Linked DNA regions of Oryctolagus cuniculus. The protein of the gene in region 3 interacts with the protein of the main gene of each other region in a biochemical or structural test. Links are inferred from orthologs where the notes say so. Each region holds a gene or a part of one and is shown on either strand. Other genes may lie near its edges.

Evidence for each region.
Region 1: of the proteins of CCND1 (region 3) and CRYAB, one has a biochemical effect on the other in vitro, tested with the Homo sapiens proteins (2 studies listed by BioGRID, with this or other methods). The link is inferred for Oryctolagus cuniculus from reciprocal best matches to the Homo sapiens genes CCND1 and CRYAB.
Region 2: the proteins of CCND1 (region 3) and CDK6 form a complex in vitro, tested with the Homo sapiens proteins (3 studies listed by BioGRID and IntAct, with this or other methods). The link is inferred for Oryctolagus cuniculus from reciprocal best matches to the Homo sapiens genes CCND1 and CDK6.

What each region holds. Positions count from the first base shown.
Region 1 is NC_091432.1:103,864,852-103,868,594, forward strand, and holds the start of CRYAB (alpha-crystallin B chain), read right to left. Parts: upstream 2,802-3,743; 5' UTR 2,782-2,801; coding exon 2,581-2,781; intron 1,483-2,580; coding exon 1,360-1,482; intron 53-1,359; coding exon 1-52. UniProt on the Homo sapiens protein: May contribute to the transparency and refractive index of the lens. Has chaperone-like activity, preventing aggregation of various proteins under a wide range of stress conditions.
Region 2 is NC_091447.1:42,948,189-42,951,931, reverse strand, and holds the start of CDK6 (cyclin-dependent kinase 6), read right to left. Parts: upstream 2,653-3,743; coding exon 2,420-2,652; intron 374-2,419; exon of another isoform or gene 14-373; intron 1-13. UniProt on the Homo sapiens protein: Serine/threonine-protein kinase involved in the control of the cell cycle and differentiation; promotes G1/S transition. Phosphorylates pRB/RB1 and NPM1.
Region 3 is NC_091432.1:3,247,220-3,250,962, forward strand, and holds the start of CCND1 (G1/S-specific cyclin-D1), read right to left. Parts: upstream 2,689-3,743; 5' UTR 2,541-2,688; coding exon 2,343-2,540; intron 1,134-2,342; coding exon 918-1,133; intron 450-917; coding exon 290-449; intron 1-289. UniProt on the Homo sapiens protein: Regulatory component of the cyclin D1-CDK4 (DC) complex that phosphorylates and inhibits members of the retinoblastoma (RB) protein family including RB1 and regulates the cell-cycle during G(1)/S transition.

The DNA.
Region 1 (3,743 bases), about 100 Mb from region 3:
CTGGGATCCGGTATTTCCTGTGGAACTCCCTGGAGATGAAACCATGTTCATCCTAATCCAAGAAAAGAGGAAAGAGGCAGAGATATAAGAACAAGAAATAATCCCACTTGCTTATAACTCCGACATCCCCATTACCCTTACGTGTGTCTAAAGGCCACTGACAACATGAGAAAAAATAAAGGGCAGTTCATTTCAGGTTTTGGGCAAAGATGAAGTTGCCCAGGTGGTAACTTCTACCCATAAGAGTGTGAGGAGTCTGAAACAGACCAGAACTTTAACCCTGAAGCATAGATGTGTAAGGATATTTTTCAAAAGTTTGGCTGAGCCTATAGGATTTGGAATCTTGTCCTGGCAACTGAGTCCCTGAAGGAGCCCAGAAATTGTCCTGACCCTTCAACAATTCCCAGAATGTTCCAGACTAATAAGATTGCTCCTAAGGGGAAAAAAAAAGTGACTTCATCCATTCAGGGAGACTGTGACCCAAACTTAAGTCATATGAGCAAAACTGAAACAACCTGATTGTATTAAGCTAAATTGTATTAGTTGATGCAGAAGCCTTGGATTATCACTAATTGTTGAGAAATGATATTAAACCTGTTCAAAGACATGAGAATATGTTCCATTCATCAGAATTTCGTAAAAGTAACTGACCCTGACCTGTATGCCTGCCCAATCTCCAGCATTTTTCCAAAAAGGCTCTCAATTTAACTGATTTCCACATGGACTACGAGAGATTGGGAACCAAGTACAACTTTGAAACATCAGAAAACCAAGTAGTGTAGCATTAAGATAGCCTGAAGAGAAGTGGACCATCTAAAAGAAAAGTTATGGATTCAAGTGCCTTCAGGGTATATGTAGCTAATGTAATTACATAAAGCAACTTGTTGTCTGACAAAACTACTTAGATGAGTGCCCTTCAGCTTGACTGTAGATTACAATCGTCTTTAGAAGTGAAAAAAAAAAAATGGTATTGCCTACATCCTATCTCTAAAAATTTTTATTTAATCGTTCAGGGCATAGCTGAGAATTTGGATTTGTGAACATTCTCCTAGTGATTCTAATGTGGCCAAGGTTGAGAATCACTGGCTTAAATGGGGAGCAAACATCCAATTTATCCCATCTAAGCCAATCAAATCAAAACAAACAATCATGGTCCCTGCTTTGGCCAACAACAGCAATAATAATAACAGCTCAGTCCCTAATTTAGTTTCTAGCCATTGATTTGCTATCCCTGATTCAGAGGCTCATTTTTTTGGGACAGGAATGTCGCCAGCCTCAAAAGCTGATGGCAGTGTCTGGCATCATTCAGTAGACAACATGCACTGAATGAATGAGCAGAAGGAAAAGCAGGCTACATACCTGGCGCTCTTCATGTTTGCCGTGCACCTCAATCACATCACCCAACACTTTGACCTTGAGCTCCTCTGGGGAGAAGTGCTTCACATCCAGGTTGACAGAGAACCTGTCCTTCTCCAGGCGCATCTAGAAATAGCAAGATGAGGGAAGGGGGAGGTGGGAGAAAAGGTGACAGGCATGTTGATTACACTGGTACAGTATCGTCATTTTGTAGACTTGCTTTCTATACAGCTATTTTATCCTCCTCTTTTCTGCTAAATATACCACAGTGGTACCCAAGGCATGCCTATCAGTCATCAATTCCAAACTTTATTTATAAGGAAAGATCACCCAGGGAACCAATCACAAGATGGGTCTGGGCATGGCTTCTGCTGCCTCTTTGACCCCAATGCCTTGCTTTGTCATTTGTCTATGAGACAAAGGCCCCTTCTTCTTGCTCAGTTCTCTGCCAAGTGTCCCACCCATACAATCTGGAATGTTCTGCTTGCCCTTCCAAAGCCCTTGCCCACTCAGCTCCTGTTTACCCACACTCGAATATTTTTAAACCGCAGTGTTATCTTTGACAGTGCCTGTCAACCTTATCTAGTCACCGCATTCTCCCACCCTCTTAGGACAAGCGAGAGGGTCCTAAGACTGGTCCTATTCTTCCCTCATAAGGCTTGGACCCAGGCCAGTGCTCTGTCAGAACCCCAAGGAACTTGGAAAATCATACAAGAGGGAACAGATCTCAAATCTGCGTATATTAACTGCATGAAGTTGTATTCGTTTAATAAAACAAAAATAAATAAATAAAAAGAGGGAATGGAAAGGAAAAAATAGTGGTTGTTGTTGCCAGTTCCCCCTAGTGAGGATGAAAAGCTCAGGATGAGGTAGGACTCTGAAACTTGAGATGATAAAGTCTCTCAGGAGTACAAACTATTATTAGAAGAGGTGAGCAAAGCGTTAGAAGGCAGTTCCCTTCTCTTCAAATCTTTCTGAACCAAACCAGGAACGGGTATCTTGCTTAGAAGTTAGAGGAGAGAGCATCAGGGATGCACAGCTCAGGGGAAAATGTAGTAAGATACAGAGAAGTATCAAACAGAAACAGGTGCCCAGAGGAGGGAGGCAGTAACCTCATTTTTCTTCACTTATGGACACACATGAGCCTAAAGTGGTTTTTAGGCAAGGAAGGAAAGGAAAATGAATAGGGGAGTTTCAAGGAGGTTTCAAGCAGAGGAGACTCACCTCTGAGAGTCCAGTGTCAATCCAGCTGGGTGCCCGCAGGAATGAGGGTGGCCGAAGATAGAAGGGGCTCAGGGAAGTAGAAGTTGGGAAGAGATCAGACTCCAACAGGTGCTCTCCGAAGAACTGGTCAAAGAGGCGGCTGGGCGAGTGAAAAGGAAAGAAGGGGCGGCGGATCCAGGGGTGGTGGATAGCGATGTCCATGGTGGCTAGGTGAGTGTCGGGGGTCAGCTGGCGGGTCAGCTCCTTCAGCCGCAGCTACAGCCAGCCCCTTATATATGCAGTCTTCTGAAGCTTCTGGAATGGTGATGTCAGGGGTTTTATTATCCTAGCTCACCGCTGGTTCATGGAGACTTGTGATCGGGGATTTGGCAGTGTGACACATACCCAGTACTCACTGAGCTAAGAAAAGAGAAACACAAACACGTCTGAGCTGGCCAGTGACTTGCCATGGTCTTGTTTCACTGGCTTTCCGTCCACACCCAAAGGCACCCACCCCCTTCCCCTGTTCTCTGAAGCTGGGACACAGTCAGGAATCCCAAGCAGGCGCGTGGTGTGCCCCTCCTCCTCCTCTCCAGTCTTGCATGCCAGGGGCATCTGGCCAGCAACTATCTTGGGCCTGGGCAGGAACTGGAATCTTCCTAGGCTGGGCCCCAGGGACATTAACTCTTTGTAGGTCCTTGGAGGAGAGTGACCACCAGCATGTCACTACCAGGCATCTGCGTGGCACCCTGGGTTGACGAGGGCTTAGGAGAGGACCCTGACATTAATCTGGGCAGATGCACCCCAATCTCCCTAAAAAAGGCAGAAAAGTTTCTTGCCTCTTTGATTGTATGTGGCTTGCAGGACATGAAATCCAAAGTTCTTTATGAAGCAGGGGGCACAGTCCTGCAACTGAGGAGTAAAAGGGAGTGTGGAAATGTTCTGACTGTTTAGGGAGGGGCTCGGCCTGGCCTCTCCTGAGCCTCCAGCACCAGCACCCCTCCCCAGCTCCCTCTGAACCAGGACCCCCAGCTGTCTTCTCTGGTCCTCTGCGACAGCTGAAGGGTGTATGGGGGAGGGGACTGGGGGTCCGGTGGCGTGGATCACACCCTCGTCTTTGCACTCAGGGCCTGGCTCTGCAGCCCTGCCCCCAGAGGCTCTGCACTATTTTGGGTGGTGTAGAC
Region 2 (3,743 bases), on a different chromosome or scaffold from region 3:
TCCCTCTCCGCAGAGAAGAACTGCCGTCACCTGTCCTTGATTTCCTGACTCTGCCTGAACAGAGTAGCCACCTCTGAAATCCGTTACTGCTCAGTGTGCTCAGTGTGGCGATCATGGGAGCCAGTGGTCGTCCCAAGGCAGCGGTGGAAGAAGAAACAGGAAGGAAATGAAACAGGAAGAGAGATCTGTAGCTCGTGAGGGTGACATCATCAATAATTTCCTCAAGTGTCACTGAGCTTCATGGCATATGACTGACAGCCTTTGTGGACAAACTACAGGCTCACTGTACTCAAGTAGCCCCTGTGGCTCCGAAGCCTGTAATCTAAGGGTATGAATATGATTTGTTCTTGGAAAAAAAAATAAAAAGGCCAGGTGCACTGATGCCTGCTGGGAACCTGTTCTGGGCAAGCGCGTCCCACTAATCTTCAGGAACACAATGTGTAGACACCTGAAGTGCTTCTAGATGCACAAAGTGTTTTCACACATGGCGTCTCACTTGACCCTCACCAACTACCAACTCCAAGGGGTGGGTGGCACCGCACCGCTCAACAGGCAAAGACAGTCTTAGAAAAAGGTGTCTTCTGATTCGTTAAGTAAATCCTCCTGACATTTGCAGTGCAGAATCTCAGTTGTGGCTCAGTGAGAGATCTCTGAAGACACACCAGCCTCAGCAGGTTTCACCCCGCGGGTGGGACGGAGGGGCCCCAGCGCGGCAGCACGGGGCGCGAGCTCTCCTCCGTCAGGAGAGCGAGTCCTGCCTCGTTAACAACAGTGGTAGTACCACCAGCGTGCCTCTGTAACACCCCCATGCTGGAAGGTCAGATGTGGCAGCTGCCTGGGATGGGACAAAACCAGAAATCTTGGTCTCAAAATTCTACTGGTGAAGTCACCCTTTGGAAGGGCTTAGGCGACACCCTAGGGAAAGTACTAAGTTAGAGGGAGCTAACTGTCCCCTCTACGCCCACTCTGATACCAACAAACACACCCTCCAGGGGTATTTTGTTTTTTTGTTTGTTTGTTTGTTTAGTTTTTTCAAAAACACGGAGAAAAGGTAACCTGTCGCTTTAATATGTAAGCCCACCTCCCAAAACACTCTCCCAGTCTCTTTATCTTCGACCTCCACCCTTGACAAGCTGATGGAGAGGTATAATGGAGTCCTATCTTTACAGTCATTTACTACCTTATTTATGTATTTATGATTCTCTGCTGCCTTCCAGCCTGAGTCTTCACTGTCTTGGGAACAAAACACTACACCAATCACCCAGCCTAGGGTAAGAAGAGGCAGGTCAGAACCTCCCACGGAGACTGCAGGCACCCGGTCTCCCTGAGCCTGTCCAGGGTTTGGTATTTCAGGTCATTCTCGGGTCGCTCCGTTTTGATGAGTAATGTTAAACTGTTTGACTTTTCACAAAAATATTTAGCCATGCTTATTTACATCACTTCATCCGCAGCGCACGCAGCAGGCACGTAAGTGTTGAGCACAATGCCTCGCGGAAGGAGGGTCTGGGACCTCCTTCTCCCAACGCGTGAGGAGTCCACAACCCGCTCTGCCTCCGTGCATGCCTTTGTGACCTGAAGCCATGCAGCTCCTCTGTTTAAAAACAAGATGACACAAACGCACACACAGTCAACTGCGCAAAGGGGCGATTCCAGGATCACCAAGAACCCACCATTCCCCTAAGTCTCACTCACACACACACACACAGTTTCATTTAATATCTTTAATACCGGTCACAGCACAGCAGAGACTTCAGGGACTGACTGCGTACCCCACTCCTGCCAGTCACCCAGGAAAAGCAAGGACAAAGAGCACTGAGAATCTAAAGCCACCACACCTTGGACACCCATCCCTTGGCAGCGGTGGTCCAGGGGCTATGCCAGCCCAGAGAGAAGTGGCACGGACAAGAAGGATGACAGCTCTGGGACGATGCTGTCTGCCACTGGGCGACTCCCCGGATCATCAGTAAGCCATTCTCATTGTGCAACTTTAATACAGAGAAACTGGGTGTGATTAGCAAACATATTCTTATCCGTTTCTGCATTTTTAAAGACCTCATTTGTGCAAGGCTCCACCCTAGAAGTTTTCTCCTCGCTTATCACACGGACAACCTGCTCCCTCTCCTTTGCAGTCGCAAGAAAGAAAGAGAGAGAGAGAGAGAGAGAGAGAGAGAGAGAGAGAAAGAGAAAGAAAGAAAGAAAGAAAGAAAGAAAGAAAGAAAGAAAGAAAGAAAGAAAGAAAGAAAGAAAGATCCCCCGAAGCCGGGAAACGCAAGCAGCAGTGGTCTCAGGTCTGTTGGTTCTGCCCCCAAGGCCTCCCCCGCAAGGCCCTCGGGGCGGTCGGGGAGAAAACACCGGCGGCACGGCGCCGGCGAAGCCCGCACCTCCCCGGGCCCCCGACGGCGCGGACCCCAGGGCTCACCTGACCACGTTGGGGTGCTCGAAGGTCTCCAGGTGCCTCAGCACCGCCACCTCGCGGATGGTGGAGAGCGGCATGCCTTCCTCGCCCGTCTGCACCCGCACGCGCTTCAGCGCTACGAACCGGCCTCCGTTCTTGAGGTCGCGGGCCTTGAACACCTTCCCGTAGGCGCCCTCCCCGATCTCCGCCACGCACTCGTACTGCTGGTCGGCGCGGCTCAGGCCGTCCTTCTCCATGCCGCCTGCACGCCGCGGCTCCCCGGAGCTCGGTCCCGCTCTCCTCGGCCCCGCCGGCTCCGGCGCGGGCTGGCGCAACCCTGGTGCCGCCGCGGCGAAACTCCGCCTGCCGAGCCGCCGGGGAGCGAGCCGAGCCCTCCTCTTCCCTCCCCGAAGCGAAGTCCTCCGCACCGACACCGAGGCGATCACATAGTCTCCACCCGAGCGCGTCTCGGTCCGGGGTCTTTGCGACTGAAACGGGGGACAGGAGAGAGGACGACAAGTCAGACCGCCCGGGAGCCTTCCTCGGGGTTCCTGCAGCCTCCCCTCCTCCACGGCGCCCCCACGCGCGCCCGGCCCTCTCCCGCGCCGCCCAAGCCTGCCTGGCTCCTCCCGAGCAAAGCGAGGTCACTTTCTCTCCCCGCAGGGCTGCAGCCGTCTGCGCGCGGCGAGGCTGCAGGGGCCCCTCGGGGATGAGCGCGCCGCGCGGGACGCAGGGCAACGGGAGGGGGCGTGCCGAGCGGCCCGGAGTGTGCCGGGAGCGCGGGGGAGGGGAGGCGCCGGGCGCGTCAATGTCACGGCTCCGCGCGGATCCCTCGCGCGCCGCGCCGCCCGGGGGCCTGGACGCGGGTGGGGGCTCCCGGGACCCCGGAGCCCGCGGCCGGGCAGGGTGCGAGAAGGGGTCGTCACGCATCTGCTCGGAAATTGCTTCCTTTCTTTTTCTACTTTCAGTTTTTCTAAGGGGGAGACCTTTAAAGACGCGGCGCACACGTACGTGGTCTCGCCGGGGGCCGAGGCGCCTCGGCCGGGAACGCAATCCTGCCTCCGACTCCGAGGGACCTCCCTGGTGGAAACCCCGGGAGAATCAGCCATCTGGTCGGGGCGGGCTGGGCTGCGCCGGGGTGGGCGAGCCGGAGGCCCTGGAAGGGGCAGCCCCACGTGGGATGCCGAGGGTGGGGGCGAGGGGCGTCCGCCTCCGGGACTCAGCGCGGGGAGGAAGACACCAGGACCGCCGACTCGCCCCGAAGTTTCCAGCCCAGGTCAACCTGAGCCGAACGCTACCTCCCCAGAGGGTGGTGGGGGCGGGGGGCGTCGACGCTGCGCCTCCCGGG
Region 3 (3,743 bases):
AGCCCGGGAGAGGCCAGGAGGGGCCCCCGCAGTCCAGGCTCCTTGAGGACACGGGGAGGGGTGGAGGTGGGTGGGGGCGGGCAGCCCGGCCGCAGAGGCAGAGCCGGCTGGGCACGCAGTGGTCACGGCTGCCAGGCGCGCCCAGCGCAGCACAGGGGGCCGTCGCTGGAAGAGGCCCCCCCCCGCCCCCAGGCAGGCTGGGAGAGCAGGCAGGCGGGGAGACCCCGGGGCCACCTCCCCTGGGCGGCGCGCGGTGGTGGGGCGCGAGGCCCTGGCCGGGGCGCCCCACCTGTGGCGCACAGGGCGACGAAGGTCTGCGCGTGCTTGCGGATGATCTGCTTGTTCTCTTCGGCTTCCGGCATTTTGGAGAGGAAGTGCTCGATGAAGTCGTGGGGGGTCATCGCGGCCAGGTTCCACTTGAGCTTGTTCACCAGGAGCAGTTCCATTTGCTGCGGGAGCGGGCGAAAGGCGCAGCGCGCGTCAGGAGCCGCACGCGCAGGGGTCTGCCCTCCGCGGGTTGGGGGGGGCCCTGGGGAGGAGGGCGGAACAGGGAGGGGCGCGCCCAGGGAATGCGGGGCGCGGTGGGGGAGAGGAACCCGCACACGGTCCCTGATCCAGACGGGAGGAGGCGACCGCGAGGCGACCTTGTGCAGGCAAGGACAAAAAAAGGCCACCTTCCGCCACCTGGAGCCCGAAGGCCGTCCGGGCTCGCGCCGCTAGGGGGCGCGCGCCGCCCACGCTTGCCCGGCCACGCCGCTGCCGGGCGAAAACTTGGTGGGAGCCGCGGACCGCGAGCGGCGGGCGCCGGCGAGGGCCGCCCCCAGCCCCGGCCCCGGCCCCGGCCCGGCCGCCCGCGCCTCTCCTCCCCGCGCCCGCCCAGCGGGGATCCCGCGGCCCGCAGGGCGCCCCCCGGGTACCAGCAGCTCGTCCGGCCGGATGGAGTTGTCGGTGTAAATGCACAGCTTTTCGGCGGTCAGCGGGATGGTCTCTTTCATCTTGGAGGCCACGAACATGCAGGTGGCCCCCAGAAGCTGCAGGCGGCTCTTCTTCAGGGGCTCCAGCGACAGGAAGCGGTCCAGGTAGTTCATGGCCAGCGGGAAGACCTCCTCCTCGCACTTCTGCTCCTCGCAGACCTGCGGGAAGACGCGGGGCCGTGACCGCCGCCCGCGCCCCGCGCCAGGGTCTCCGTGCCCGAGGGCGCCGGGCCAGGGGCCGGCGAGGGCTTCCCGGGGTGCGCTCGCCGCCACGCGCGTGCCTGGGGCCCACCCACCCCGAAACTGAAAGGGAAAGTCCCCGCGCGACCGGCGCGGACGCACGACCCCCAGGACCCCGGCCCGCGCGGGGTATCCGGGGCCGGCACCCGCTGGGGTTCGGGGGCTGGGGGCGGGCAGGGGGCCGGGGGCCTGGGGCCGCGGTGGCCCGGCGCAGCGCTCGCCCCGCGCCCGCGAGACACAAAGGTGGCGTCCCAGGCCGCCGCGCCGCATTTCCCCAGACGTCATCTTTTCAAAAAATATTTAAAAATATTAAAAAAATAACTGGGCGCGCAGAAGACCCCTGAAAATGACCCTCGGGCGGTGCTCTACCTGGGCCGGGGGCCGGGAGCCCGCGGCAGGCCCCGGGGGGAGCCCCAGGAACTCAAACTCGGGGACCCCCCCCTTCGCCTCGGGCGCAAGGGCACTGCGCCGAGCTGCGAGAAGCGGCTCAAAGACGCCCGCGCGCCCCTCGGGCCTGAGCACGCGCCCCAGGCCCCCGGCCCGCCCCGGGACGACCCCCGGAGCCGAGCCCCCCGGCGCCTCGGGGGCCACGCGACCTTGCAGCCCGGCGCGCCGCGTGGCCCACGCCGCCCATGTGGGGTGTCCCGGCGCCCGCCGCGGGGACAAAGGGGCTCCCCGGATTCCCGAGCCGGGTCCCTCGGAGCGGCCCGCGCCGCGGCCCCGCGCCCCTCCCGCAGGCTCCGGGCGGCCGTGCGGACCCTCGCGGCGGTCCCTCCGCGCCCCGCCGGCCGCTCCCCGCCCCCAATGATTAATAAACGCGTTAGCTTTGCAATAAAAGAGCAAAGATGGCGCGTAACACTGGCACGAGCGGCACTTGCATACGTGTCCGTGGGCATTCACCTAAAGATCCGACCCGCGCCCCCTCCCCCCGGGCCCGCGCAGGGCGCCCGGGCTGCACCCCGCACCCGCCGCGGTGGCCCCCGGCGCCGCCCCTCCCCCTGCGCCTGCAGAGGGGCGCGCTCCGGGCCGCCCCAGCCCCCACGCGCCCCTGCCCGGGTCGGAAGTTGCCCGCTCTCGGGGTTATTTATTCGGAAAACACGGATTCCGTAGCAGCGGCGCGGCCGGCACCTCCAGCATCCAGGTGGCCACGATCTTGCGCATGGACGGCAGGATCTCCTTCTGCACGCACTTGAAGTAGGACACGGAGGGCGCGCAGGTCTCCTCCGCCTTGAGCATGGCGCGCAGCACCCGGTCGTTGAGCAGGTTGGCGTCGGGGTAGGCGCGGCGCACGGCCTCCACCTCGGAGCACAGGAGCTGGTGCTCCATGGCCGGCCCGGCGGCGGGGTGCTGGGTGCGCGCTGGGCTCCGGCCGCCCGTCCGCTGCCGCGCCGACAGCGCTGTGCAGGCGCCGGGACTTTGCAACTTCCACAAAACTCCCCAGCAGCCCGAGTGACGCGACCGCTGTTCAGCGGAGATCAAAGCCGGGCAGAGAATGGGGGCGGGGGGCGGGGCGCGCGCGGGGGCGGGCGCGCGAGGGGCCGAGCCCGGGAGCCGTCCCGGAGCCGAGTGCTCATAGACATGCAAATCGCACCCCGCCGCCCGCCGGGGAAGCGGGGCGCAGGGCGGGGGCGGGGGTGGCCCCCGAGACCGGCGGGGTGGGGCGGGCGGCCACCCGCGTGGAGGGGGCAGCGCCACGAGGGCACCCCCGGGAGGCGCTCGCATCCCCTTTCATTTTCAGGAACACGTGTAGAATCGGGGCCCCGCGCGCTGGCGGGGACGCGGGGCGGCGCTGGTGCGGGGGGTCGGGGCCCACGCCCGTGGGGCGAGCCCCGCGCGCGGCAAGGGGACTGTGGCCCCTCACGCGTTCGCTCGGATAGTTAAAATACAGGCAGCCGCCCAAAATGGTGGCCGGCGCTGCCTCCGTCCCGCCCCTGGCGCCCGGGGCCGCCTCGTGTCCGCACCCGCCCGGCCTCGCGGGGGTCCCCCCGCACACCTCGCGCCCAGCACACGTGCGGCCACTGCGAGGCGGCCAAGCCACGATGCGGGTGCTGCTAACCGCCCCCCACCCCCCAGTTTTTTTAAATTAAAAAAATAATAAAAAAATCGCTGGGCACGGGAGTCGCTGATGCCGGGGACTACGTGCGACCCCCGGGCGCGCCCGCATCGGTTCTGGGGGCCCAGGGCGACCGGGGTGGGGGGGCTCGGAGTTTACCCTGGGGCCGCCTCCGTGGGCGACAGCGAGGAGTCGGCGCCACGAGGAGTCACGCGTCGGGCTATTTTGAAGCAGAAACCGGGCGTGCGTGGCCCCGGTCCCGCAGGGCAGAATGCATCACGCAGTGAGCGTAGTCTGTCCATTGGGCTCTTTGAGTTTTTTAAAAAGCTAAATGGACACTTTGCCCATTCTTGACTTTTTTAAAACTTTTTTTCTTTATTTTTAACAGCGCTTTCCTTAACTGGAGAAGCCCCGGGACTTCGGGGTGGCCCCGGGGGGATGGGCGCGGGCCGCGCCGGCCGCCGTTTCATTCATAA